Linked DNA regions of Mus musculus. The protein of the gene in region 2 interacts with the protein of the main gene of each other region in a biochemical or structural test. Links are inferred from orthologs where the notes say so. Each region holds a gene or a part of one and is shown on either strand. Other genes may lie near its edges.

The links.
Region 1: the proteins of Dlg1 (region 2) and Adgra2 form a complex in vitro, tested with the Homo sapiens proteins (2 studies listed by BioGRID and IntAct, with this or other methods). The link is inferred for Mus musculus from reciprocal best matches to the Homo sapiens genes DLG1 and ADGRA2.
Region 3: the proteins of Dlg1 (region 2) and Mtmr1 interact in a test that uses a peptide from one of them, tested with the Homo sapiens proteins (2 studies listed by IntAct, with this or other methods). The link is inferred for Mus musculus from reciprocal best matches to the Homo sapiens genes DLG1 and MTMR1.
Region 4: the proteins of Dlg1 (region 2) and Net1 form a complex in vitro, tested with the Homo sapiens proteins (3 studies listed by BioGRID and IntAct, with this or other methods). The link is inferred for Mus musculus from reciprocal best matches to the Homo sapiens genes DLG1 and NET1.
Region 5: the proteins of Dlg1 (region 2) and Slc16a3 interact in a test that uses a peptide from one of them, tested with the Homo sapiens proteins (2 studies listed by IntAct, with this or other methods). The link is inferred for Mus musculus from reciprocal best matches to the Homo sapiens genes DLG1 and SLC16A3.
Region 6: the proteins of Dlg1 (region 2) and Atp2b4 form a complex in vitro, tested with the Homo sapiens proteins (2 studies listed by BioGRID and IntAct, with this or other methods). The link is inferred for Mus musculus from reciprocal best matches to the Homo sapiens genes DLG1 and ATP2B4.
Region 7: the proteins of Dlg1 (region 2) and Crhr1 form a complex in vitro, tested with the Homo sapiens proteins (3 studies listed by BioGRID and IntAct, with this or other methods). The link is inferred for Mus musculus from reciprocal best matches to the Homo sapiens genes DLG1 and CRHR1.

What each region holds. Positions count from the first base shown.
Region 1 is NC_000074.6:27,084,489-27,088,745, reverse strand, and holds the start of Adgra2 (adhesion G protein-coupled receptor A2 precursor), read right to left. Parts: upstream 2,801-4,257; coding exon 2,535-2,800; intron 2,478-2,534; exon of another isoform or gene 196-2,477; intron 1-195.
Region 2 is NC_000082.6:31,661,963-31,666,242, reverse strand, and holds the start of Dlg1 (disks large homolog 1), read right to left. Parts: upstream 2,801-4,280; 5' UTR 2,755-2,800; intron 2,309-2,754; exon of another isoform or gene 1,922-2,308; intron 1,423-1,921; 5' UTR 1,392-1,422; coding exon 1,373-1,391; intron 669-1,372; coding exon 537-668; intron 1-536. UniProt on the Homo sapiens protein: Essential multidomain scaffolding protein required for normal development. Recruits channels, receptors and signaling molecules to discrete plasma membrane domains in polarized cells.
Region 3 is NC_000086.7:71,367,760-71,371,259, reverse strand, and holds part of Mtmr1 (myotubularin-related protein 1), read right to left. Parts: intron 1,462-3,500; coding exon 1,356-1,461; intron 1-1,355. UniProt on the Homo sapiens protein: Lipid phosphatase that specifically dephosphorylates the D-3 position of phosphatidylinositol 3-phosphate, generating phosphatidylinositol. Could also dephosphorylate phosphatidylinositol 3,5-bisphosphate to produce phosphatidylinositol 5-phosphate.
Region 4 is NC_000079.6:3,915,421-3,919,520, forward strand, and holds the start of Net1 (neuroepithelial cell-transforming gene 1 protein), read right to left. Parts: upstream 2,801-4,100; 5' UTR 2,646-2,800; coding exon 2,518-2,645; intron 1-2,517. UniProt on the Homo sapiens protein: Acts as a guanine nucleotide exchange factor (GEF) for RhoA GTPase. May be involved in activation of the SAPK/JNK pathway Stimulates genotoxic stress-induced RHOB activity in breast cancer cells leading to their cell death.
Region 5 is NC_000077.6:120,947,611-120,951,866, reverse strand, and holds the start of Slc16a3 (monocarboxylate transporter 4), read right to left. Parts: upstream 2,801-4,256; 5' UTR 2,717-2,800; intron 2,022-2,716; exon of another isoform or gene 1,855-2,021; intron 1,151-1,854; exon of another isoform or gene 374-1,150; intron 1-373. UniProt on the Homo sapiens protein: Proton-dependent transporter of monocarboxylates such as L-lactate and pyruvate. Plays a predominant role in L-lactate efflux from highly glycolytic cells.
Region 6 is NC_000067.6:133,750,948-133,755,178, forward strand, and holds the start of Atp2b4 (plasma membrane calcium-transporting ATPase 4), read right to left. Parts: upstream 2,801-4,231; 5' UTR 2,335-2,800; coding exon 2,142-2,334; intron 1-2,141. UniProt on the Homo sapiens protein: Calcium/calmodulin-regulated and magnesium-dependent enzyme that catalyzes the hydrolysis of ATP coupled with the transport of calcium out of the cell. By regulating sperm cell calcium homeostasis, may play a role in sperm motility.
Region 7 is NC_000077.6:104,156,781-104,160,280, forward strand, and holds part of Crhr1 (corticotropin-releasing factor receptor 1 isoform 1 precursor), read left to right. Parts: intron 1-1,435; exon of another isoform or gene 1,436-1,943; intron 1,944-2,471; coding exon 2,472-2,591; intron 2,592-3,500.

The DNA.
Region 1 (4,257 bases), on a different chromosome or scaffold from region 2:
CTGTGGCTGGAAGCTGGGGACCCATTCTGGAAGGGGACTGTAGCAAATGTCTAAGAGGGAGGACACAGCCACAAGGCACAAACAGCTGGCTCAAGTCCTGATGCTCTACCTGATGACAAGCAAAAAAAAAAAAGGGGGGGGGAGAGGGGGAATCTGTGTGGGAAAAAGACTAATGTCTTGTTTTGTTTGAGACAGGATCTCCCTGTGTAGCCCAGAATGGCTTGGAACTCAATGTCCTCCCCCAGGATTACAAGCACCAACCCCACACCTAGCAAAACTCCCCACTTATAAGGGGGCTCCCAGTCCTGGAGAGATGGCTCTGTGGGTTAAGAGCACTGACTGCTCTTCCAGAGGACTTGAGCAACCACACGGCCGCTAACAACTGTCTATAGCGCCAAGACCGGCCACCCTCACACAGACATACATGCAGGCAACACCACCCAAACATATAAAATATCAATAAATATGATTTTTAAAAAGTAAGGGGGTTCCATGCTCTTCCTTGGAAGCAGCAGCCCCTTTCCAGCCTTCCTGTCTCATTTCAAGATGAGCTATGACAGTGTGCTTGGACTGAGTCCCCTTCCTACCTTCCACTGAGATCCTAGTTTGATTTTTTTTTTTTTAACTTCAGAGACTGCTGGGTGGCGACCCATCAGGATCATAAATGTGGAAAATTGAGAAAAACATCTGGAGGGAGATTCAGATTCCATTACACTCCAGACTGGTGGGTGACTGGGCTCCCTTGTCCTTTCCAGGGTCCTGCCAGGCTGGGGACCAGTCTCTTTGGAAGGTACTGTAAGCCAGCTAGGTGAATGGCCCAGAGGAGAGAGGAGCCCTTCCTTAGGGAAGGGCTTAAGGCTGGAGCAGGAAGGGCTTAAGCCAAGTCTGCTGCTACTTTGCCACGATATGTTCTCACCAAGAACTGGTCCCGCTCCTCTGAGTGGCGTAGATGGGAATTAGCCGTGGCTGGAAAGCATTAGTGGCCAAATCAGTCTAAGATGTCCTGCAAAACCACTTTTCTATTTTTTCCCCCTCCCTTCCCTTCTGCCTTGACCATGTTAGGATTCCCTAATCCCCACCAACAGACACACAAGAGACAGCTCCCACACATGTGAGTTCGCTGAGCCTCTGGAACATGTGCCCATACACAAATCACCTCCACCCCCAGCCGAGCGAGCGAGCTATCACGGTGCAGCTGTGTGTCACAAACGCTGGCCAGCTATTTCTCACAGCAAAGCACTTTTTTTTTTTCCTCCCTCCTCCAGAACTAAGTAAGCTGGGGAATGCCCAAGTTTTTCAGCACCCTTAAACATCATGACACTCAGACCTACTGTGAACCGCCTTAGCAGCCACTAGGGCTGCAAGCCAGAGCTTGCATCGAGGTGGGAGAGAGAAGAGATCCAGTCTCCACTGCGAGGCACACAGCCCAGCTGGATGGAGAAAATGCAAGCCAGCCGGCCAACATCACAAGCTGACCAGTTGTGTCCTGTCAGGAAGCCAGCTGCCTCTGAACCCGCCACAGGACTTACTGTATTGTTCTGGGTACAATCATGAAACCAGCCCCAGCCCTGGGCGAGGGGTGGTTTGGAGAAAAGGTTCTCTCCAGGGTCAGGATGACAGGGAAGGGGAAGCGGCTTTTAGGCTAGATCCTGAACAGGAAAGCAAGGAGCCGCCGCCGGGGCACGACCCTTAAACCACGTCGCGTGGAACTTGGAGCATATGGTCAGCTCAGGAAACCGCTGGGGTGCGGGAAGCTCTCCGAGTGCGGTTGCCGGGACTTAAGACTCGGGTTAAAGAGCATAGGTGCTCGCGGGCCAGGAAAGCAAGGGTTTAATCAGGCCCCGATTTGAAGGGAGAACTATGGAAGGAGGCCGGGAGGCACGTGCCTCCCTTCAGTCAGGTTTTCCTACCAAATCGTTGAGTAATTAAGTTAATCGATAAACAGCCAAACTATATGCGCAATGGGAGAGAGCCCAAGAGGAGATGGGGCACGGGGTCAGATCAGAAGCGCCTGCATTCCAAGGACAGGCTTAGCGGTCTCAGGCTCCCCTGCCCAAGAAGCCGGGCTGGGAGCAGAGCTCAGCAGGCCCGGGGCGGGGCACCGCAGACTGGGTTATCCCAGTTAGAGGAACCAGGCTAGCTAGCTGAAACCAGCAGGCTCCCTGTCATGCGGGCTCCGAAGCCTCAAAGGTGGTGAGGACCACAGCCACCTAATGGGTCCCTGACACCGATCCCACTCTCACCCAGCTCAGGGCCTCGTAAGGCTGCAACACTAGCCAATCTGGGACAAGGGACACGGAGTGGTCCCTCCACCGTCCACACGCACTTCACCTGTGCAGGTGAGCAGGCTTCCGCGATGCCTCTCGCTCTGGGGCCATACCGGGGTTTCTCTGATCCTAGAACTTCGAGTTTCCCGGTTGTCGCCTGGACTCAGACTTTCCCCAGGCTCTCAAGTGGCAAGATCGTCGCCCCCCCCCCCCCCCCCACTTAAGTCCCACTAATTGACCATACCCGGCACAAACTAAGGTACTCACAAGGTGATGGTGCCGTTTGGCAGAAGGCCGGGATCTGGAGGTTCGGGGAGATCCCCACCGCCGCACACCACCCTCCTTCGAGCCGGGTTGTGGGCGCCGCCACTTAGTCCCTTGGGCCGCTCCCCAGAGCACTTGCAACCGCGGATAGGGACCGGGCAGCCAGGCGCACCCCGAGTTCCAGGAGCCAGGAGCAGAAGACAAGGCAGCAGCGGCAGCAGCAGCAAACGCGCGGGAGGCACCGGCATCCTGCGTCCCCCCGCGCCCATCAACCCATCGCCCCGCGGGGACCTACAGCGCAGGGGCCGGACGGCTCGCCGGCCGGAGGGACCCGGGCGTGCGGGAGGAGTGCTCAGCGGGAGTCCCGGGCGCCCGAGGGCGGGGCGGGGGGCCATGGGCGGAGGCAAGCCTCGGGGTCCCCGCTGCTGCGCTCCGGGGGCATGGCTTGCGAGCACCCGGGCCGGGAGGGACGCGGGCGCCGCTGACAGCGCAGCGCGGGTGGCCCCCGGCGGCGCGGCCGGAGTCTCAGCGCAGCGCTCCGAGCCGACGGAAGCTTGGTCCCTGCGCGTGGCCGGCTCGCCCTGCGCGCGGCTGAGACCTAGCGGATCGTGCCGGGCTCCTGTTGCTGCCGCCGCCGCTGCCGCAGCTCCGTGCCATGGATGGGGGCAGCTAGGCGCCGCTCAGCTCCCGCCGCCAGCCCCCGCCCGCCTCCATCACCGCCTCGTCACTCTGCGAGGCCCTAGCGCCGCCTGATACCCTGCCAGGCGGCTGCCCTCCTTCAAGTGCAAGCCTAGAAGACAGCTTGAGCAGACACCCACTCCTATACCCCATCACCTACCCTGAACCAAGACTGTTGTCCTGTCACGACTCTTTCTACTAGCCAGGACTTTCTCTCTCTACCGCCCAGCTCAGACTTGTAAGGCAACCATCACTTTCCACAAAAAAAAAACGCTCTCTCATCCAGCCTACACCCCTCTTTCTAGGACTTTCGTTGAAGTTCTGGTTTGGCCTGGGAAGTCTGGTGCTCCGGGTTAAGGGGTTGAACTTAGCTCAGGATCTAAGGTTTCTCTTTGGCCCCTGTCGCGATGAGCCGATCTATAAGTTGACTCTCACAGTCCTGTTCCCACCCCTCAGACTTGGATTGAAGCCACAGCAGGAGGGCACAAGACTGAGACAAGGAGGCCATAGATCTTACCCTGTGAGCATTGACCTTGCCCAGCGGGAGGTGCATGTCATTAGGCCAAGGAGAGGTCAAAGGTTAAGGCAGACACTGCCAAAGCTATCCTCCTGTTAACACTGTGTGTGTGTGTGTGTGTGTGTGTGTGTGTGTGTGTGTGTTGGGGCAGGGCAGTAAATGAGTAAGGGGAAAATAAGAGAAGGCCCAGGGATCTATATTAGGGTGTGGGCAGACTCTACCACCAGCCAGGGTATCGCAGTATAGGTTTCAGCCCCCCTCCATGTCTTTTATTAGCTGTTTGACTTGACACAGCATGTAACACCTAGGGGTGTGTAGTCTATTGAGCCTTGCTTGTAAACCGTGGCCAGAGAAGGAGGAAGAAGGGCCAGTCCTAGGTAGGATCTGGCTTTTGACCACTGGGGAGTCAAAGTGCCTATGGACATGACCTCAAAAAAGCAACAGTAACAATGACCAACAGCTAATGCCTGTGGGTGTTAGAGGTGCTGCAGTGCCAACTGAAAAGAAGGTTGGGGTTAGAGGACCCAGGAT
Region 2 (4,280 bases):
AGGAATACTAGAATAAGGTAATTAGACAGCATCATCTCTGAGATCATGTTTCAGGTCTAAAATTCATATTCCACAAATGGCAACTCTAACAGAGGGTGTGTGTGTGTGTGTGTGTGTGTGTGTGTGTGTGTCAGAGAGGCAAATGCTCTCAAGCACAGCAGCAGAGCCTTTCAAATATTTCCAAGGATTCCAGAGAAACACACGCCAACTACAAAAACACCAACAGTAGTTCAGTTGTCACGACTGGTGTCCTAAAACATTTCTACAACTTGTCCATATTCCAGCTGTTAACTCTAAGACATGAAACTGTGCTCTCAAAGTGCACAGAAATCACCAGACCAGAAGTTTTTCTGATAATTAAACATTTTTAGAAGTGACAGTGGCCTAACTGCAAAATAAAAAATCACTAGAGATGTCCTAAGTTAAGGACCATCTAGAGAGCCAAACACATTGTCTTTCAAATTCTAAGTTTAACATAACAGAGAAGCATCAGGCACTAGTACAGTGGTCAAGAGTAGAAAAGTTTTAACTCCCACCTATTAAAGCCTGAAAGAGGTTGCTCTGAAATATGTTAATAACCCGCTCTATGGAACTTCTGAGTTGTCTGTCTTCAGTTTGGCTTAGTTTCGATCGATATTCTTCCAACAGATGCAATGCTCTCTGGGTATCTGAAAAGACAAATACGGTGAAAATTTCATGTATATATTAAGGCTCTGTGTGTATCTGCATACATATTTACATGAGAGTGCTACACGCTACCTCTACAAGACATCTATAAGTTCCCCTGAGCCTCCAAGGCAAGGGCTGCCATCACTATATCCATATTCCATTCCCTACTAAGACAAATATTTTAAAGGCTTTATATCACAGCAGAGAAAGGAGAAAGTGAGTAGCCTGTGTTAGCTGTGGACTGACAGCTTCCAAGACTAAAAGACCGTCTAACTAAACTGATAGCAACTTGGTTTTTAGAATGCCTAACAGACAAGAACAAGTTATCTACAATTTGTTCCTATAACCAAAACGTGTTTCAAAACATTAATTCCTAGTTGCTCACAGAGTTGCTCACAAAATAGTGTTGATATGAGTGATAAAGTGAAATACTGAAGCAATGAAGTTTTGAAAAAGACATGGTAGGGGGCAGATTGCTTCTGTTGATTGCTTCTGTAATGACTACAGATGTCAAGAAGGTGTGTGCAACCAACTAGATGTTTCCACCTTCTGAAATGATGGGAAGCTCTGATACCATAAGGAATAAAAGCGAGAGCCTGCTGATTCCTCAAAGTCACACAAACCTTTTAAAAACAGTAACCACAACACTGATGTATGTTACAGCAAGTGACAGCCACAAAACAGTTCCAAAATAAATTCTCACCTTGCTTCCGGACCGGCATTTTTCTCCAGAATCAGGAAGGCGGCACACACCTTTACAAACACAAAACAGGAAGGAAAACTTGAACTAATGCAATGAACTGAATCGTGGATCCATTCGTTGCCCCCGCCCCACCCCACTTCACCCCACCCTACCCGACCCCATCCCCCGCCCCAAACTCTCGACTAGGGAAAAACTCCAACCTTGGTGGAACTGCCCACCTTCCAAAGTTTTCCCAAGTGGAAAAAAAGCAGAAGCCTCAAACCCCCAGCAGTGTCAGCCAAAGCGGAAAGCGAGTTCTCGGGGGTCGCTATGCCCCCTACAGATTAAGATCAGACCCAAGCCCGCTTCGGTAGGTGCCTCCAGAGCTCCCCCCTCCGCAAAGAGCACCTGAAGAGGAGAAGCCCGGCCGCCGCGGCCGCCGCCGCCGCCAAGGCGTGCTTGCCACGCTCCCCACCTGCTGCCGCGGGCCGGCCCGTGCCCAGCCGCGCAGCGCCCAGCCGAGCGCCCGGCTGCTCCCCCGGCCCGCTCGGGCCCCCTCCTCTCGCTTGCCTGGTTCCTCGTTCGTCTCCTCCCGGCGGCGACTCCAGCAGGGGCCGGACCGGACAGCCGCCGCTCTCCGCGCCGCTCATGCACCCCCCTCCGCGGCCTCCACACCTGCGGCTCCGCCGCAAAGTTCCCGCGAGCGGCGTACGCGGGCGCCCCGGGTGCGCTCCGGCCGGACTCGGAGCAGCTTCCCCGCCCGGCCCCGCTCCACGTACCCCGCCCCGCCCCGAGCTCAGCTGAGGGGGTGAGGGGACGGGGGAGGAGCTCCCCCTTCGGCGGCCGCACCCCCGCGCCGCTCTCTCCGCCTCGGCCGCCGCCGCTCGCCCGCTCGCCGCGGCCCGCGGCCCCTGCTCGTCCGCTCGCCTCCGGGCCGCCCCACCCCCGGAACCTCGCCTCCTTCCGCGCCCCCAGTCGCTCTCCCCCTAAACTTTCCGCCAAGATGGCGGCCCTGGAGCTGGCCTGCCGCGCGCCCACGTGACTGCTTTCCCCGACGCTCTCAGCCAATGAGAAGTGAGGAGGCGGCTCGCTCCGAGCCCCGGGCTCCGGGCGCTGCTACCGGGGTTGGAGAAGGGAGGAGGGCCGGGAGGAGGGCGGGGAGGGGGCTGGAGTACTGGAAGGAGGACCCTTAAGCATCCACAGGGAAGCGCCTTGCGGAGAGGAGCTCCGGTGGAAGCGGCTCTGGGGACAAAGGAGTTGACACGCGCTCTACAGGTGGCCCGAAGTGGCTTTGGGACAGCAAGCCTGCACGTTGCCCTAGCCCACCTCCGGTGGCCTGCGGTTCTGAACTAGCGCGCCGGACTCGAGTTGCTGGAGACTTTGAAAGAGAGAAGTGACCTCACCTGCGCTAGATCCCAAGAAACAAGCTCAAGACACCCCTCACCTCACTGAACACGTGCTGGCCAACTTCAAGAAAGGAAGAGTGCCTGGCACGCCCGGGGTGGATCCCCAACAGGGAAAAAGGAATTTGTGCGGAGCTGCGCACCAGTCACCCGCGTTAAGGGGCGGAGGAAGAAGGGACTTAGGAGGGGAAGGGGTATTGTATGTCTTCCACTTTTTGCTGGTTTTTAAATTATTCGTTTGTCCAGAAAAACAAAAAAAAAAAAAAAAAAAAAGGTTTGAGGAGTTTCATTAAGGACCGGATGTAAAGCGGAGACGGATTAGTTTGCTAAACGTTTGAGGGTTTCAGAGGATTTTTAGGTCTAAGTGGTTAACTCCTAGTACGAGCCGTTTAAACAAGTGAAAAGTTCAGTCGTTAATATTTCATTCATTCATGCCTGCATTCATTTGTGCGTTCATGAATGTGTCCCCGCCCAGAGATGCTCCCAGGAGTTACCCATCTTATGGCGGTCCCTTTAAGAAACTCACCTGTCTACCCCAGCGGTGGTGGCACAGGACTTTAATCCCAGAAAGGCTAAGTAAGGCTAATCTTTGTGAGTTCGAGGCCATCCAGAACAGTGAGTTCCAGAACAGCTAGGACTACACAGAGAAGAAACCCTGTCTCAGGTGGAAAACAAAGAAAGCAAGCCTCTCGCTGCCAGCCCTCACACCTAGTTTAAATTTCAAGCACCTCACAGCCCAACAAACAGTCCCAAGGGACACTTGCTCTAGAACTGAGCCTGAAGGGGAAAGTTCTCCAAGTCACTGACTCGAGCTGCTTTTGAGCAGCAGGAACTTCTCTGCTCCATAGCCCAGGAGAATTTTTCCAAAGTCGTCAGAAGTTCTTGAAGCAGAACCAGAAATGCAGAGATCCATGTGTGTCAAACCGTAAGGCTGGATCTGCTTGGATCCAGCTTGAAGATGATTCGCTTGGTTAAGGTTCTTGCCTATGAGCCTGATAACCTGAATTCCATCCCTGGGTCCCACATGGTGGAAGGAGAGAGCCTCCTGTTTGTCCTTTAACCTCCATGCACAGACACATTTAAAATCAATCTACCGGTACTTGTGTTTTAATTAAAGGGGGAGAAAGATGAGGGGTTTTTTGGTTTTTCAATAAACCTGACAGGCCTTTTCTGTGTCCTTGACAATGGAAAAGTCAGAGAAGAACCTTGCACGATAGCCATAACCCAAGTATGCTGATGACTGGGTTTCACTTTTGGCTTGTACCTTAGAATCCTAACTTGTGAGAACCTTAGGACTTTAGAGCTCAGGTAGATCTACCTCCTTTCAGAAAGTGAAAGAAAAACGTTCCCCGTGATATATAAGCGGATCAGTGGCCACAGCGCACAACTCGGCTCTCCTAGCTCCAACCCAGGGCGCTTTCCGCAATGAGTTCGAACAAGCAGGTTGGCAAGCAGACTTTTTTTGATTTGTTGCATTAGGCATGCTGGGGTCTTGATCAACAGTAAAAGCCACATTGCATAGAGGA
Region 3 (3,500 bases), on a different chromosome or scaffold from region 2:
AGGATTTCTATTAACTTTGGTAATCTTAGGCAAGCTTAGGATGTTGGCTGAAGCTCTTGAACTATTTGTGAGATTTGCCATCTTCTAAGAGCTACTCACTGAAAAGGGAATGTATTCACCATGCCTGCCAGGCAAAAACAACAACAACAACAACAAAACAAACAAAAAAACCCCCTCAAGCAAACACAAAGAACATATCAAAGCAGTTTCACTGTGTATCTGTTAACAGCATACTGGAATTAAATTCTAGTTTATAGCCTGAACAAAGATGGAACATCTGAGATTTTTGCTAGTTGATTCATTCAATGACTATTTTTTTGTTTGTTTGTTTGGTTGTTTGTTTGTTTGGTTTTTTTTTTTTTTTTTCCGAGACAGGGCTTCTCTGTGTAGACTGGGATTAAAGGCAAGCGCCACCTATCTGTTAAGAACTAGAACAGTGCTAGAAAACAGTCTATGCCAACAAGAAGCCTTGTTTGTTTGTTTGTTTGTTTGTTTTGTTTTTTTCGAGACAGGGTTTTTCTGTGTAGCCCTGGCTGTCCTGAAACTCACTCTGTAGACCAGGCTGGCCTCAAACTCAGAAATCTGCCTGCCTCTGCCTCCCAAGTGCTGAGATTAAAGGCATGTGCCACCACCGCCCGGCTTTTTTTTTTTTTTTTTTGAAGCCTCACTCTTAACCTTAGAAAATGCAGAGAATCCAACTTTTAAAACAAAAGTTTATCACTCCAGTAAGGCATAAAACAATGAGGCTGTCCTGTTTTGAGCCCTGTAAATGGTTTAGAATTGTAGTATCCTTGCTAATGATGACTATGCAAGTGCAATGCCTAAATACAAAACCATGTTTGTGAAGTACAGTGCTGGCATCCAGGTTTGATTGCTACATAAAACAGTAACAAAAAAAGCAAACATGTTTCTTTTTGTTTGCCTGCTGTTCGATGGGAAATCTCACTTGGTAACCTCCTCTGGCCTTGAAGTTTCTCTATGGACAATGGGCTGGCCTCTAACTCCCTTGTAAGTAGTATTGGCCTTACAAGCATGCACTATTATGCCCACTATACATTTCTCATAAAATAGAGCTTGATTTTTTAAAAAAAAATTGATCAAAACCTTAGGACATTCTTTATGTTAATTATAAAACCACAAATAAGAAAAATAGGTAGAACTTTCTATCTCTATCTATATTTCTATCTCTATCTATCTGTATTTCAGATTGAACACTAGAGAACCTTTGTCCTCACCACCTCCAAAGGACAATAAAAATTAAGTGGTCAAAAGCTCACATGAACTAAACTACAACATTCTTGGCTACGAATCAGCTATTCTATATAATAATGAATTAAACACTCAATGCCGCTTACCTTGTAATCTCTTGACACATTTTCTGATGTCACTGAACCTGAAATCTGACTAGAAATTGTAGCAGCTATAAGCTGTTTACACCATTCAACATGTGACCCTGTAGGACTAAAAGAAACAGTGTGGTTAAAACCCTTTAAACACAGACTCCTAATGAGAAAAAAGTGTCCTGGGTAGGAATATATAGATATAATATAGATGTCATTTTTAAAATCAGTCTCTCATGTACAGCCCAGACAGCCTCAAATCACTATGTAGCTGAGGATAGCCTTGAACTCCCCATGCTCCAGCCTCTACCTCCCAAGTGCTGAAATTATAGATATGCACCCCAATGTTTTAAACTATTTGGTTGCCTTTCTACTTAACGTAAGAATCAATAATAGACAAAACAGAAAATAAGATTAGGTTCTAGGTTGGTTTTAGATGAGTTAATCAACCTTTTACTAAAACTTTAAGATCAGAGATGTTAGGTCTAGAGAGACAGCTCAGTGGTTAAGAGCAATAGCACCTCTTTACAGGAACTAGGTTCGTGTTCCCATTGTCCATGTGACCATTCACAATTTTCTGTAACTCAAGTCCCAAAGATTCCAATGCCCTTTTCTGGCATCTGTGGGCACCAGGCATGTATTGACACAGACACACATGCATCCATACACATAAAATAAATAATTTTAAAATGATTACAGGTATTTAGTTAAGCATGTTACTCTCTAACATATTGTAGAATTCTATCAAAATTATATGGAAGATATAGTGTATATATACATACACACACATATGTATATATACACATATATAAATTAACATAGTATATATAGGAAATTAATTCCAAAGTGAAATATTTACATTAAAACATGATTTTCAAACAACATTCAACCAAATTCACGTTTACAGTTTCAAATCTAGAAAACAGTGTACTTTTACTAGAGTTAAACTGATGGTGAGTTAATATAGAACAGACTAGAAAAGGTATTTTATATAAAGTAATGATGCTGCATTACATTTCTGTAAATGTTTTAACGACTGAAAAAAGCTTCTTCCAGCTAATAACTCAAAGCTTTATAACCAGTTGTGACAAAACGGCAGAATAGACACCAGCCAACTTGACTGGATAAGGAAATGGAGGTGCTGAAGCCACAATATACCCAGGAACATGGCCACCACTCCAGGGAGCAGCACAGCTCACAATGACTGACTTACTGAGCTAAAGGCAGTACCACACATGCTGGGACACTGCCTCAATACGGAAATACAACAGTTTGCAAAGGAGATGGAACCCTCTGCTAGTGTAAAAGGCAGTGTTACCTAGCGCCCCCCCCCCCAGTGACCCATTTTATAGAAAAGAAAACTGAGCTTCCAGTTTTGTCCATGGTCATATCACTGTAAGATCTTGGTCTCTGCTCACCTGACCCAATAGACTACAAAGGCAAACTAGGTGGCCAGGGATTTAAAACTTGCCCTCGAGAGCCAGGCACCTTTCCAGATCTGTCAATACAGGAAAAAAGATCAAGCAAGAGGACAAAACTTTTACTTAGGACCTTTTACCACAAAGTTAGCTTTTGTCTGGAAACAAAACAAAAACATCACAAATTACATTCACACTCATGTGTTTTAAGGACAGAACATCCATCTAATTTGTAGTCTCTGATTAAGGTAGTTAAGTCATTAAAGTTGAAAATATATGTAAAATATTTGCTGAATAGGTTTAAAGTTCGATGATACACTAAGATTCCATGATCTTAGTAGAAGTTAGAACTCTATCACAATTTCTAAGTGGCAGGGGGAAAGGAGAAAGACATTTCCATGTGTGTTGAAATATGGTCTCTCTCTACATACTTATGTAGTCCTAGCTGTTCCAGAGCTTGGTGTTCCAGGCTAGCCTCAAACTCAGAGATCTTTCTGTGCTGGGATTGAATGCTGACATGTCCCATCCCCCCCCCCTTTGACTGCTCCTTTCCTTTTCCAGACAGTCTTATTCTCTAGTACAGGCTGGCCTGGAACTCACTGTTTACCACTATATTGTCCTTGTATATGCACCAATTTTGCCTGATTTTGAGTGCAGTGTTTATTGGTAGAGACTGCCACACCAAGTTTCCTTTTTTGCCCTTTTACCACAAGCACCCATTCCTGATTACAAACACATAAAG
Region 4 (4,100 bases), on a different chromosome or scaffold from region 2:
CTTTGCCCTATTAACCTTTTCATTACTTCTGGTGGGTGGTAGGTTAGAATGGAGGTTGAAGCATTTAAGAACCCTTATTAAAGTAAGTTTTGAAAATAAGACAACACCTATAGGCTTATATATTTGAATGCAAACTCTTGAAAAGGATTAGAAGGATTAAGAGGTGTGGCCTTGTTGAAGGAGTATGTCACTGGGGATGAATTTTGGGGTTTCAAAAGCCCATGCCAGGCCCTGTCAGACTGTCTTCTGCCTGCAGATGGGGATAAAGCGCTCTGGCTACTTCTCTAGCACCATGTCTGCTTACATGCGTCCCATGATGATGATAATAATGGACTACCCTCTGAAACTGTAAGCCAGGCTCAGTTAAACCTTTTCTTTAAGTTTTGCCTCGATTATGGTGTCTCTTCACAAAAATGGATCAGTGACCAAGACACCTGGGCATGGGCCTTGCTCTGGAGTGTGGTTGATATACCAATACTCCACTGGAACAAAACAAAACAACAATTTTCCTTTTCCCAGGAGGTATCAATTGCAAACAGCTTCTTGGTTCTGAGTGGGATGGTGTGTCAACTCTCCCATTCTCAGTGCTAGGATCTTGTCTGGTTTGAACCTGTTGCAGGTCTTGTGCATTCCTTCAATCTCTGTAAGTTTAGATGTGCATCAGTGCTCTTATGTCTGGAGGATACTGTTTCCTTGGAGTCATCTACCAACTCTGGGCCCTAGAATCTTTCCTCTTCTGCACAGAATCAAAAAGGCTTAAATTCACTGCATGATGTGACCAACGCCTCCCAAGAGAATCTAAGGTTCCTGAGAGCAAGCGCTCCATCTGCTTTTGTTCACCTGAATCCCCATCATCCTCAACAGTGTCTGATGCTAGGGCAGGTGCAACTGTATTACACTGAGCACACGTGGAATGAAGCACTGCTTCTGTTCATCTTCAGGAAGTCCTCCTTTTCTGCTCCTTCACTAGCCCATCCTAATTCTTGTAATTCTCAGTCTCAAAGATGCCTTCTTTCTGCACTCTGACTTCTTAAACACACGGTCTGATTGGAAGAGAGGAAGTTTCAGAAGGCAAGAATTCTGGTAAATATTGCCTTAAACTTCAAACTCATAAAAATCAGTACTAACTGAAAGAATCTAGCTCTTTATAGAGTTACTTAATACAATGGGTTTGCCCATGCCTTGATAATGAAAGTAAGGTGTTTGCTTTTTCCTCAAAACCATTTGTCATGATTAGATTATAAGCTATATAAAAGATTAATTTAACATCCTATCAAATGACCTGGGCGTCGAGGTTCACACTGCAATCCGAGAACAGGGGGAGGCTAAGGAAGAAAGACCAGTTTTTAGGCAGAACGGTTTGGAGCCTGCTTGGTGACAATTCCTCTTCTCACCAATAGTCCTATGGATGTAAGACCACCTACAGTCCACCAGTTTCCATGGAGAACAGCTCTGGTACAGAAGTACAATATGAGTTTGTGGCCAGCGTCTCTACACAGGTAGTGAGTTCTGGGGTAACCAAGTTACACAGTGAGAACTTGTCTCAGAAACAAAACCAAAAAAACCCTGAAATCATGTCAAGTGGACCATGGGGATGTCTGAAAAGATGGAGCAGACACAGCACTGTTACTTTAACAGATTTAAAACTGACAGACAAGATTTCTGCCGAGTTTTCTGCCGAGGCCCATGATAAGTACTGATGTTCACACAGTGCCTTATATGAGGCAGACACTATCATAAACTCACTATGTAGACGTAGATTTGAACAAAGTTACATACTTTGTAACTCAATGTCTAACGTTATAATGGGAAACCATTGCATTCAGTACTTTGAGACCATTTCTCATATTTCGAAGGGCAAAAGAATGACAGAGTAGTCCAGACAAATGCCATTTCAATTTCCTATTTAATAAAAATATTATGACTCCCACAGCCTCTCTTCCAGACACAGATTTCTGAAATCAACCTAGTGTTTGCCTTTCCCAGACACATAGAAATGAAGATACAACACAGAATGTGAAAATGTGCTAATAACTGAAAAGCCAGAAAGAGTCTTTCTCTGATCTCTTCATTCCAGGAGCCTGTCCTGTTCTGGTCTGCAAAGGACATTTCATTTGAACAGCCGCTTTTAGGCTGAAAGGGTTGGTATCTGTTCAGGTGACAATTCCTCTTCTCATCACAGGGTCCACGACAGTCTTGATCTGAGCGCCTGCATCCACAACTAGTTTCTGGTAGAGAACAGCTCTGGTGCAGATGTACGGTTCCCCAGGGACGGGGTTAAAGGAGATTGTCAACAAGTCCAACGAGTCCACCCCTTCTACGCAGGGCCGAGCAGTCGCTGTGCAGCCCTCGGTGCAGCCCGCCGGGCAGCGCACTCTCCTCCCGCGGCATTTCTGCCCGGCCTTCCCCAACCTCCCCTACTGCACTGCCAGTCCTTGGTCACCCACCGTCCAGTCCATCCCGTCCTGAGTCTCCAGACTCGGTCCCCGGCTCTCACCCACCTCCCGCCACCCTCACCTCTCGTTCGCCGCCGGCCCGGGTGTGTCGGCCGGAAGCCCCGCGGCAGGTTCCTCGCTGAGCATTGAGACCCTGCGGCTTCTCCTCCGAGGTCGGGGCTGCTTCTGAGCCGCCGGCTCTGGCTCCATGTCCGGAGAAGGGGGGTTGGTGGGGCGGTGGCCCAGTGCCCAGGAGACCGATCGTGGCGGGCACAATGCCCGCCAGCTTCTGCGAGGCAGCAAGTCGCCTTCTAGCAGAGAGCGGCTACCGCCGTCATCCGGGGATTTGAAAATGGCGGCTGCCCAGAGATCGGCCAATCAGAGAGTGGGAAGCGGTTGCTAGGCTACGTGGAGTCCCGCCCTAATCAGAAGACTTCATACCAAACTTTTAGGAGCTCCAGTGACAAAGGGAAAGTGGTAAGGTGAAAGTTAGGAATTTGGGGATTTATTTTAACTACACACCTTACTCCTGAAAGGCAGTCTCTATTCACTAGAACTTTCACTTGCAGGGCAGGAAAATGGATCGGAAGCTGTTTATCATTTGTTGTTGTTTAGCGTTAGACAGGATGAAGGTATTGACCCCAAAGCAAGAGGCAGTTGGACGTATAAACACTAAGTTATACATGTGGAATATATTCCCAATTGCCAAAGACAATACTTTGTTCTCCAGGATGTCTCTAGAGAACCAGTGAAATCTAGTTATGTACTCCTGTCTTTCAGTAAGTAGGACACAGTCGCTTTACCGAATGGAAAGGGCTGCTTTCTCTGCTTGCAAGACTGCAAAACGTGCAGCATGAAACAAGGGACCCTGCTCAGGTTATTATGTGAAGATTGGTAAATAAAAACGTTCTCTGATTTTAAATATCGCTAATGGTCTTAAATGTAGTCTCTCTTGTATACAGGGAGATATTAATGATGTTGTGTATAATAGAAAAATTAAAGGCAATCTAAATGAATGACTGGGAGATGTCTAAATATAACTGATTAACTGTGAAGACTGCATTCAGCCGATAAAGAAATGGTCTTCTTCAGGGAATACCATTGGTTAGCCAATACTAACAGCTAGCCCTGAAAACATACAAATAACATCATACAGACTGAGCTGGCTGTATTTGTGTATTTAGGAACATATATGTATAACATATTGTTACATATTGACTATGTAACAATAATTAATAAAAAGAGTCCATGAATGTGAAAGATAGCAAGAAGGGGTATAGGAGAGAGTTGGGAAGGAGAAAAGAGAAGGGAGAAAATGGTGTGATTATATTATAATCTTGAAAATAAAAGAAAATTAAAAATAAGAGGTATATAGTAAAACAAAACATTGTGATTTTAACTGAAAGCATAAAATATGAAATATAGAACAATGATGGCTAGTTTTATGTCAATTTAGAAAAATTCTGTTTTAGGGTTTTACTGCTGTGAACAGACACCATGAAAGAGACAGCCCTTATAAGGACAATATTTAATTGGGGCTGGAATACAGATTCAGTCCATTATCATCAAGGCAGGAACATGGCAGCATCCAGGCAGGCATGGTACAGGAAGAGCTGAGAGTTCTATATCTTCATCTGAAGGCTGCTAGCAGAATACTGGCTTCCA
Region 5 (4,256 bases), on a different chromosome or scaffold from region 2:
GGAACTAAGGCAACTACAGCCCTTGTGTTGCGCTGCAGATCCCCAAAGAACAAGTAAGGCAGTTGAGGCCAGCACCCAGTATCTCAGGGTGGCAGGGGCAGACGGTTGCTAAAAGGCCCCCTTCCAAGTTCCCTCCTCCCCCCCCCTACCATTGTACAAAAAAAAAAAAAAAAAAGGAAAATGTAGCAATGGGCCTCTCCTCTCTGAGCCCACCCGTGTGCAAAGGTATACCATGGAAAAGTCCCTAGGGGGGTGGTTTCTGGAGAGGCCACCGTGGGCAGCTGGAGGCCTGCAGTGCGTGCCTGGCTCCTCTGCGCTTTGTCCTGTCAGCTCACATCAACTTTGCAGGGATCCGTGGGATAGAAATACTGACCTTGTTTGCCAAAATAGACAGTTGCCCAGAACCAACCATCACACCACCTCAGCCCTGAGATCCCCCTTCTTGTGAGGAACCTTGGCTGTCACAAAATGGGGCAGCCCTAGGGACCTGCTCCGGCTTACTGTGGGAGACCCTTCTTTGCAAAGTTCCACCAAGGCCCTGCTGAACATTGCACGGTCCACTCCTCCACAAGAGCATCTTACGGAGCCCTCGATTCTCATGCAGCCCTCCTCCCTAAAGCCAGAATCTAGATTAAAGCTAAAGGGAGTCTCGGAAGTCATAAGCGCCCTCCAACTCCCATCACTGTCTGGCATAGAGGAGATACAGGTTTGGAGATGGCCGAAGTATGAGTGGGGGTGGGGCTTGGATCAGAGGGCGGCAACCGACTGGAGATAGTGGTCCAGCCGACCTGGGCGGGGTTCAATGGGTCGGGTTAGGGAAGGAAGCTCCGCCCAAGCGGACTCGGGACGTGGGGGACGTGACCGCGCCAAGGGAGGAGCCGCTGCCGTATTGCCTGGAGTAGGCGGTCCTCTGCTTCTACCGTACTTGCAGCTCACGGCGCCAAATGCCCTGAGAGACCTAAGACTCACCCGTAGATTAGCTTGCAAGGCGGGCCAGTTCATTCTGCCCTTCACGAAGGCGAGCGAGGGCGCGCGACTGAACCTCTGGGATGCTGAGATGGGCTAGTTCATTATCCATCTACCCCCTCATGGCCCATTCCACTGATGGGAACAACGGCCAGAAGTCTGCTCTTGCCGCTAGGGCGGTCTCCATTCCTAACCTGCCCCTGAGCCAGTGCTCAGTGCCAGCTGGACCAAGGCCTGGTCCAGAGGTCTCTAATTGCTTAGCATCACCATCCAGAAAGTCCCGCATGGGGCCCAAAGGTGTCTGCTTCTGGGCCTCCCCAGCCCTCCCCTTTCTGACCAGTTCACTGGAGGATTAGAGTCCTAAAGTCCCGGAACACCGGCATACTGTGGGGTCCCACGCACTGGCCCCTTCAACATTACTTCTTGATGGTTCTAAGGCCTACTGTGCTTTCTCCTCGCTGCCCCTCGAAATTTAGGCATCCAAGCAGTGAGATCGTTTTTACGGGGAGCAAGCCCTGCCCAAGGTCACTGGTGATGTGGCCAAGTCCATCTTGGAACCAAACCACTGGTTATTCAAAGTCCTTGCCAAGAAGGGGCCACATGTATCTCGGTAGTGTCCTCAGTGCCCCTTAAGGGGTAGACTCATCCTTTGCACAGCATCCTAGCTGTGCACTAGTCACTGCTCATCCTGAGTGAGTCCACACACTTTTAGGACTGTCCTCGTTCCTCAACACGGACGGACCCAGCACCCACGGGACACCAGCCAACTTTGGGCCTGTACAATGATGCCGGGAGCCCTCGGGGATAACCTGCTCCCAACAGAAGAACTTTGGGAAAGCTAATGAGCCTGTGTTATGGGGAGAACCTTGCCGTTACGCTCAGACCAACCTGTTGTCCTGAAAGGGTTCCTGTCGGCCTGGGCCCTGCTGCCCTCTCCTTGCTTGTCACCCAGATTCCAAGCACTATCAGCTGTCCAGAGTTAACAGTTTCTTGAGCCTGTCTGTTGACTGGACCAGCATCCAGGCAGGCGCCTAGTCAACCCACTTGTCAGGTAAGAAAACAGACCGTGCCTGGTTTTCCTATCGGATGAGAATAGAGCAAACAGAGCCCACTCCGGAGGAAAACCCCACTTTCATGTGCCTAGTTTGGGTTAATAGTGGTGGCTGGGTAAGAGTTGATGAGTTTAAGATGGTAGAAAAGGTGGATGTAAAGAGATGAAAGAGACCCGAGGGCATACCTCCCCCAACGTGGCACCATTCCGAAGCGCACGTGTCCCTCTCTCTCACTGGGCGGCCTGCTGACGCCCGCTGGAGATTCGGGGTTCCAAGGAGGCTGTAGCATTCCCACCAAATATAGCCCAGGTTCCCCGGCCGTCCGGCCACGCTCCAACCCTCTTGGGCCGAGCTATTTATACTCTGGACGTTTGGTCGCCCAGGGCAGCTGCCCTCCTGGACGAAGCCCAGCCCCCGAGGGCTACCGGATGGATAGATAGGCGTCTACGAGGGCAGGGAAGCAGGATGCAAGCGCGCAACTGGCTGTTCATGGCCCTTTGGTGGAGCCGCAGTGGTGAGAAGGTTCTCCAAGTCAAGAAAGAATGGGGCTGGAGAACCAGGAGGAGAGAGGGTCAGGGGCCGGGAGCTCCAGGTCTGGATCCCCCGCCTGATGATCGAAGGCCCCAAACCTTGGGCGACTGGAGGCGGGGGGAGGGTCCCAGCCTCGCTCCGCGCGCCAAGCATCTCGCCGCGCCTACCTGTTACCGCCAGCCGCTGTATCTGCCTCTGTCCGCCTTGGCTGCCCGGCGCCGCGCCGGGGGCGACTTTAAGTGCTCTCATCCGTCGCGCGGCACGTCCCCCGCGCACGTCACCGCTGCCTGGCGCCGCCCCTGCCCTCCCCACCCGGACCCCGCGCCGCTGCCGGAGGGGGCGCCCTGGCCGCTGTTCCCCGACGGCGCGGACAATGCCATCTCCACTTAACAGGGAGACCAGGCTGGCACTCGCTCTATAGGCGCCCGGGGCCCGGGCCCCACCCAACGCAGACCTTCTCACTGTTCTCTTCCGCGCCCTTGGGCCGTGACTACCCACCTCTGCTTCCCATTCTACCCTCCATTTATCCCCTCCCAAGACTGTGGGCTCCTTCCATGATTCCTGCAAGAGAGTGGCAATGTCCTCGCTATCTCCGAGACTGGGACCTTTTGCCCTCCAGACCCTGGCCTTCTGGCCTGCGCCTTCTGCCGGGTGGCACACGCCCCCACCACACCTCATGCACACAGGGCTCCTGCCGCCTGCCTACTTCGGACTTTCGCCCCATCCAAACCACCATACCTTGCTCGTGCCTCAGCCTGGGCTATTGTGTGGCTGTGGCAGCTGTCTTCCCTAGTTAGGAAGACTCAGGCACCTTGGACTGACCGGGGATCTTGGGCAAGGCTGTCAACCTCCCTGAACTTCCGTTTTCCCCTGTGGTCGGGGCCCTGCAACAAAGTCAGATACAGGCACTGACACAGCCCTGCTCTGTCGCCCCTCAACTCCTATAGAAGTGATTTTTATGGGGGGATTTCTGCTCCACTCTAGCCTGTATAGCTCCCTGGGGGGCGGGGGGGGGGGCAAAGAAACCTGGTGTTTTTATTAACAAGCTGTAAGTTTAAACCGGGCAGGTTCTGAGATTGCTATAACATCCTAACTATAGACGCCACATTACTTGCCAACTGAGTCTTGCTGTGTTTGCTCTGCCCCATGAGTGTCCTCAGCGATTTTCTCTCGGCCACGTGCTCATGGTCCATCCTCCCAGACCATCCTGCCTCAAGGCAGGCCTCTTCCTTCCCCTGCCTTTTTCCTTTTCCTGGTACCTACTGGAGATACCCCTACTCATCTCAAGTTCCACCTTCCTCTCTTTCCTGCCCAGTCACAGGCTTTAGCCTTTTACTATCCAATCAGAAGTTATTGGGGAGCATTCTCCACAGCACATTGGTCAATACGCTGCCCATGTCCAGACTGCAACCTGATCTTGGGGCACAGAACTCTTGGGGCATCTGAATACACAGAGCACAAGAGCAATCCTAACACTCCCAGCCCAGTGTGGGAGATGAGGACAGGACAGCAGCTTTGCATGCTGCTCTACAAATGCTGACTTCCCGGAAAGGAACAGGATTGGGAGAGAGTAGAGCCATTCTGAGCTGGGAGAGTTCTTTCCAGTCCTCCGAGGGGTGCAAGGGGTGCCGATTCAAACCCATGCCACACAATGGAAATGACCAATGACCGGGCAGTTTGGGTGAGGAGATGAGGAGGCATCTCGGA
Region 6 (4,231 bases), on a different chromosome or scaffold from region 2:
TAACCAATAAAAAGTGAGAAAAATTAATTAAAAACTAAGTCATATCTGCCTCTAGAATTGTATAAACGGAGGCTAACAAAATCACGTTAGTGTCAAAACTCTCAAGCTCCTATAAGGCTCCTTATGAGCTATGATTTAAAGAGTTCTATCTACACTAAGCATGTTATCAATCCAAGCAAAAATAAAAGGATAAAGGGGTGCTCTATTTTCCTTACTACTACCACTCCCCTCCCCAGCCATGCCAGCTTCAAATGTCCAGGCTCATGAGAGTCTCCTCTCAGCTCCTGCGTAAGAAGGGTTTTAAGCACAATGCTCCCCAACGCCAGTCTACTCAAACTTATTTCATATTGGTTTCTAACTAGAATCTAGATTCACTCCCGTATCTTTATTCCCATTATTAATCTGCAGGAGCCTCCCATAGGTGACAAAATCCTATGAGGTTGAGAGGCATCTGCGAATGGTCTTCTGGCAACAGGCTGGCTTCTTAGAGAAGGCTATTTGTCATAGCTATATGAGAGGGTTAGAGAGATGGAAGGAAAGTATGGATCCTGTTTTGAGGAGCCCCCCAGGTTCTAGCTTACTGGATCCCCAAGTTCCTCTTTGTCAAAGAAATATAAAAGGAGGAAAACAGAAAGATTCAGCTTCCCTTCTGATGGAGGTCTGTAAACACCTGCATCGTCTCAGGAAAGCACAAGAAGGTACAGGTTTTCCTTACAGCCTATACTCTGTAGAAGTCCCTGAGAAAGTCACTCAGGGGACAGGTGTGGTGGTGCATGCTTGTAATCCTGGCACTTAGAAAAACTAAAGCAGGAGGACACCAAATTCCAGGTCAGCCTTGTTGGCAGAGTGAGACTGTCCCAGGGAAACAAACACAGTAGGGGGTGGTGGGGGTGGCAGCGCATGCCGATGATAAGTTCTTGTGCATGGCAGGCTGAGATGGGATGATTCATTTGAGTTTGAGACCAGCCTGGGCTACTGAGTGAAACCTTGTTTCAATAAGCAAATAATAAAACCACCACCACCATCACCAATAATAAAACTTCAACTAGCAGGAAGTGGACAGTATCCAAAAGGCAGTATTAGACACAAGCTGGAAGGCCCAGGGGACTGACTGTGAGCAACTAAGCACTGTCACCCTAAAATCAGGCCTCAGAGATGACAGGGAGCACAGGGAACAGACAGCAGCTGCAGTCACACATACCTTAACCAGAGTAGAGATTATGTTTCTTTGAAACTCATGGGCATTCACACCCTAGGAAAATCTCCAGGCATATGGCCTATATTCAGTTTATTCAACACCTATTATCAGTTCTCACATGCACACACAAACACACATGTGTGCATATGCACTGTACTACTTAATCCCAGTAACTCTACAGGCTAGCTATAAACATTATTTCAAATACCTGAACTCAGAGCTTATAAGATATATGCCTGGCCTGTAACATCATAACCTGACATCCTGCCTGTACTGTAGAGTGAGCTCAAGTCCACTCTGGGCAATGTACTGAGAATCTGTCTTAAATTAAAAAGCAAAACAGTGGGCTGAGGCTACAGATTAATGTCGGGGCGCTGTACAAAGCCCTGGGTTTGGACCCTACATGGTGGGGAAAAATTTTTATTAGACAGGGTTAAAAAAAATCAGAAACTCCAAGACAGAAAATATTAATTTATCCAAATACATATTTATGATATGCCAACCCATTTCTGTGTACAGTAAGGTACTCAGATGGCTGGAATACTACTTCCTGTCGTCTTTTCTCATCCATTGAGCTTTAAGATCAGTGTGAGGAAGATGTCCATCTTAAGCTCTTCTGTAATCAAAATCTAATTAAGTGAGGACATTGACTATACTGATAAGTGCATCTACATAATAAATAAGGACCCTCCATACGATGGACCGACACAGAAGTAGGAGGAGAGAATGACTCAGAGATCACAGTTCCTAAACGTGGTAGAGGAGGAAAGCTCTTCATGCCCTCCCTCAGTGGCCACCTCGGCTTTAGAGGTCTGTGCTCTCCCCACCAGACCAGACACAACTTATTGGATCTCCAGAACCGGACTTTCCCTAGAAGCTAGACAAAAATATTTCAAAATCCTACTCACTGCCCCCAATCCCCAACCCTTGAAATGGCCTTTACCTTCTATAGGGGAGGTTTTCAGTCTAGTGCAGATTTCCTGTACCCCTCCGTAGTGGGCACTGATCTGGGCCACTGCATCAGCTCCACGAAGCTCCATGAGCTTTCGCAGGTCCATTAAGGTGCAGCCAAACTCCCCTTCATGGCTCTCAGCCACTGTGTTGGCTGACACGCTTTGTCCTGGTGGATTCGTCATTTTGCCTTCTTCAGTTACCAGACTCTCAACCAGAGAAGATGTAGAGTTTCCCCTCTAACTGATCAGTGTCTCTTGCCTTCTATTCGCCGTTTCTTCCCACTTCTTTCTTCTCTGGGAGGTCAGTTAGGGGATAAATTGACAATATCTCGTGCAATAAGTTTCAGAGTAGCAACACCCGGCCTAGATCCTTGCTTCTGTATTAAGTCTACTAGTGAGAAGAGGAAGAGGTTGGGGGAACTTAGTAAAAGATGGACGTGGTGTCACGATGATTGGTGTCCTCTGGGTGGAGATGGGAATGGTTGTCCAGAGTAGGTAGGTTCCTAGTTTAGACTTCTTGTCCATATAGAAGTGTAAACAGGATAAGCATGTTACCATGGAAGCAACCTTAGCAACAATCAGCAATTACGATGGTAGGCTGGCGTCAGGAAAAAGAGGAGGGCTCCCTGGATAACGATGAGGGCTAGGCCTCTGGAATAGAGATGCAAAAAAAAGACAAAAAGGAACAATTAGAACAGCCATGAGGATCCAGGATCTGCAAGGTACTCTCGAGAAGAAGGGTTTAAATGACAGTTGGTGGCTGAACGGAACTGAGAACTGAGGCCTGAGCTCAGTATCCAGGCTCATGGGAAGCCCTGGGTAGGCCTGCTGGCTGGGAATGTAGAGGATTTATCTCAGAAACATCATCTTTAAGCCTTATTTCTTCCAAATCAAGGCACACAAAATAACTCAAGGAACTCGCATATAAAAGGTTATAACCTCTAATGCTCCTCCCCTTCATGGGCTGACTGACCTATAGGATACATTAGTCTGGCCTTACCTGTAAGATGTGAGAAGAATCAGAAAAGGAATCTAGACCCAAGGGGGCTGAAACATGGCTTGCTTGTGCACCTTCTACTCCCAACACAGACATTTACAATCCAGAAAGACAGGCTGATAAAAGGTCTCTTAGAACACTCAGCCTTCAGTGGTATGAAAATTTGGAAACCTACAGCAGTTATCTGGCACCAAATTTTGGTCTCAAGGCTAAGCCCTCGCAGAGGCTTTTCCTGGTAAGAAAAGAGTGAAACACGCTAACAGTTTATGACACAGGGTGGATTCAGTTTTTCTATAAGGGCCAGGTGGAGCTCTGGGAAGAAAGATAGTGAGTGTTCAAGTTTTTCCAGTGTAGGAGAGATAAGAGAACAGTCTGTTCAGCCCATAGACAGGTCCCAACACTGTCCTCAGGGTAAGGGAGCAACCAGAGGGGCTCATGTTAGCATAGTGACACATCAGAGAAAGGTAGGCATTTTTCCCTCAGCAAGATAGACGTTAGCTGGAGCACATACTGGCTAGGGTGTGCAGGCACAGCTAAGGGTATGTGGGGATGAGAGGGGCTGAAGGTGGCTTAGAGACTGAGCTGAGCCCTATGCTCAGCTGCAGACAAGGGCTGGCTACATGTTATATATCAGCTCCTCCGATAGGAGAGGCTCAAGTATGTAGGGCCCCATTCTGGTGAAATAACCACCCTGCAATTGGTCGATGCTGCCAGGGTCTGGCAAGGCACTCCAATTGGCTAGGTAATAAACAAATGCTTTTTTTTTTTTTTTTTTTTTTTTTTTTTTTTTTTTTTTTTGCTTCTAGAAGGTGAATACAACTCTTGAGTCATCAGAGAAGAACTTGGCTCTTTTTATCAATTTATTTTCTCCAGAAATCCCATCTGGCCAAAGCTCCTGACTGATTTCAACCAATCCTGTTTCAGGCAGGTTCCTCTGGAATGGAGGTTATCCCACTTCTGCCCCTCAGCCAGCATGTTCCATCCACCTCCCCAATACCCCGACTTACAACAAGTTAAGCAAGCAGGGAATCCTGAGAAGGTTCCCTGAGGCAGTAGGTGTAACTCCCTCATTAAGACTGGCAT
Region 7 (3,500 bases), on a different chromosome or scaffold from region 2:
TAACAGACGAAATCAGTGTCCAACTGTACACAAGCCATAACTAGGCCACCCTTGAAAGAGTCCTTATCTGTAAACTGAGTGACCCAGTGACAAGTGACAACCCTGGATACCTCAGCAATCACCTCCTGGGGACCTTCGAACTGGCTACTCCCTCTCTCCCATGTATGCACGTGACTTCCTCTCTCCAAGTCTGTAATTAAACAGTGCTTTAGAGAAATCCCAAATTAAAGTAGCACCCCGTCCGTCATCATCTCCGTACATTGCTTGTAACATTTCGCACTGGATAGCACATGCTTGCCTGCTTGCTCACTGTGTCTCCCAGTAGGGTGAAAGCCCCCTCGGGGCCAGACATCTATTTTATTCATTTTTCTGTCCCCAGTTCACCCCACTTCTTGGGTGAGTTAAGTATTTGAATTTTTGTTTTGTTTTTGTTAAGAGAGGGAGAGAACATGAGAGAGGGTAGGGAGGGGGGAGGATCTGAGAGGAGTTGGAGGAGGGAAAAATAATACCAAAATATATTCTGTGGAAAGAAGAATCATTTTAAAAGCCTCCGGTGTTCTTCCCTGTCCATTCAGCCGGCGGCTGACCAGGAAGGGGCTCGTAGGTAGTTGGCTGGCTCTGTCTGTCTCTGTCTCTCTGTCTCGTGGGGGGGGGGGTGTGAGAGACAGACAGAGACAGAGACAGACAGAGAGAGGGGTTAAAAATTTAAAGTAATCCAGGCTTCCGCAGCCTAGGCTTTGAGATCCTTGAGTGCTTCAGGCTAGGACATGAGAATTCCTATGCTCTGAAATCGGTCTCTGCACCTGCTTCTCAAGGCATTCCTCTGCCCTTCCGGGCTTTAGCCTCAGCATATTCTTTATTCTTTTTGTCCCAGTCTCCGTAACACACTCCAAACTCGGTTTGTTCTTTTGCTTGCTTTGTCTTTTCCCCTCCTCAGAGTGATGTGGCGGGTGGCAAAGCGCCCTTCACAATGCCTGGAAACATTCACGCCGGCCCCTTCCCTCCTATGTCTTATGGGTCCCCTTCAGAGACCCTGTCTGTCTACTGGATCCCCAGGGACCCTGCTCTCTTTCCCAGGCGTGGTCCTCAGGGTGAGCAGCAAACGCTGGTCAAGCCGAAGGTTACTGGACAGCGGGGACCCCAGTGGGGTGGTCTGGGGACTGGCGGTGTGCTGGGCAGCGCTGTTGGAGGCCCTGACATGCCGCCTGCTCCCTGCTGGGTCTGTGCCCTCCTTCCTTTCATTTTTCCGGCCCCTGGAGCTCCTAGCGGTGGACTGAAACCCTAGTGCCAATTCAGCAGCTAAGTGCATCAGTGGAGCCCGGCCGCAGCTCCTGATTGGCCCCCATACGCTTGACTCCGCCCTCCCCCGCACTGCCCCACCCACAGGTCCCAGTGTGGATGCTCTCTGAAAGAAGCTGGTGCCTTTGTTGCCTACCCGTTCGTTCCACCTCTCTTCTCCAGTCTTGCAGCTTTTCAAAGATTTTGATGCTCCAGGATTTTCTGAGCTTTTAATATAAAGGTCGCTATATCCCCGTTGTCACTTCAGAAGCTTTCTGTGAGCGTCGGGGACAGGCGCAAGGAACATGGCGCAGAGAGGAGGGAGCACCAGCCAGATATTGGCAAAAGGCAGATGCCGGCCAGAGACCTCTGTGGAGCAGTGGAAGCTTATGGCTGGCCTCAGAAGCCCAGGGTTCAAAATCTACCCCGCCTCTTGGGTCGACCCCTGTGCATTCCTGAGCCTTCAGTGTTCCTTCTCTTTAAAGCAGGGAGTTAGCGTCCAAATGGGCAGGTGGTGTAAGACCAGAATAGATTTTAGGTTATTTAAGGGAAGACCCTAGGACATTCGCCATTCTGCTTCGCCCACCATCACATGGGTCCTGCTCCTCCCTGGATGAGCAGTGGGCGGAGTCAGAGCTCTAAATAGGGTCTTTAAAATGGGGGACATTGAGGGATGGCGTTTCCGGCGGGAGACTCCTTCAGGTGGAGCCTCACTGCTCTAGCTGGTCTTGATATCAAATGGTGCTAACTGCCCTTAGGTCCTTTCTGCCTCTAGCCTTCGAGAAGTGTATTGGGGGACTGTTAAAAGTAAGGAAATAGGCAGGTGCTTCTGTCTTTGGCAGAAGGTATGTTAGGCGTTTCCTTCCCTGGACCCTGACAGCAGTGCATTTAACCTCCACGGTGCTGGGCGAATGCATGAGCCCCTCTGAAGAAAGCGTCCTTGCCAACAGCAGGAGATCTGAAGCCAGCCCGGACTGTCTTTCTTTGCTCTGCTCTGGAACTCAGTCTCCCAAGTGCTGTAGTAGCGAATTTGCGCTCCTGTATTGGCTGAGCTGATATTCCTGCTGAGGTTTTGCTTTTTCTGCCTTTACTGGGACTGAGGATAGACAGAACTCCAGAGAGGTTTCTGTCTACCTGGGACCTTGCTTTTTTTTTTTTTTTTTTTTTTTTCTCACTGTTGTCTCTGTTCCTAGGCCTGCAGTGCAATGCCTCCGTGGACCTCATTGGCACCTGCTGGCCCAGGAGCCCTGCAGGGCAGTTGGTGGTTCGGCCCTGCCCTGCCTTTTTCTACGGTGTCCGCTACAACACCACAAGTAAGGAAGAAGGGAGAGAGTGGGCTACTGGGGTAGAGTGGCGGCAGTTTGGTGGTGGAAGAAATAGCCACCATCACCCCTAGGGCCAGCTTTGCTCTGGGCTGATTCTTGCAGAGAAAACACCTTCTATATAACCAAGGTGCCTGGACTCAGAGAAGTTAGGGAATTTGCCCAAGTCACCAGCCAACAGTGGGTGAAGCTGGGATACTGACCCTTTCTTCTGTAGTTGTAGGTTGACAAACTTCTGGTTAGTCCCATTGGTGGGTAATTGTCCTAACAGGACAAGGAATTTTCATGGAGACAGGGCACCTGGAGGGCCCAATCCACGATTGAAAGTGACTTGTATCCAAGTATCCCAGGCCTGCAGCTGTGGTGGGGGCGGGGCAGGACTGACCCATGGACTGAGCAGATACTGGATCCCCATGTAAACACCTTGCTCCCTGGAGGCCCAGCCTTCATGCCAGGCTTTGCAGCTCCTTGCTATAGCATCTGCCACCCTCAGAATTAATTTGCTTTCTCCTGCCAATGACTCAGGTTCCTGCTATCAAGAGAAAAACAGATGGAGCCCAGGGGCCGTTGACATGCAAAGGAGGTTGGGTTCTGGGTCCCTGGGGTCCCTGGGGGCTAGGAGCTCCTGTGTGAGTCCCGAAAGTGTGATAGGTCATCCCCAAGCTCCAAACAGGTGCCAAAAGTGATCAGAGGCCACGTGACCCACGTCAAGACTCACTGGGTGACCTCAGTATGTTCTCCCTCCTTGTGGCCCTCCAGCTTCCCCATCTGAGGTTTAGAGGGCTGAGGACCTCTTCCCACTCCAAACTCCCAAACCTCTCCTCCCATCCCTCCATCATTTACTAGATGGCTGAAGGGGGTAAGATTAGGAATATAGACAGGATGGTTTGAGAGGGTGGC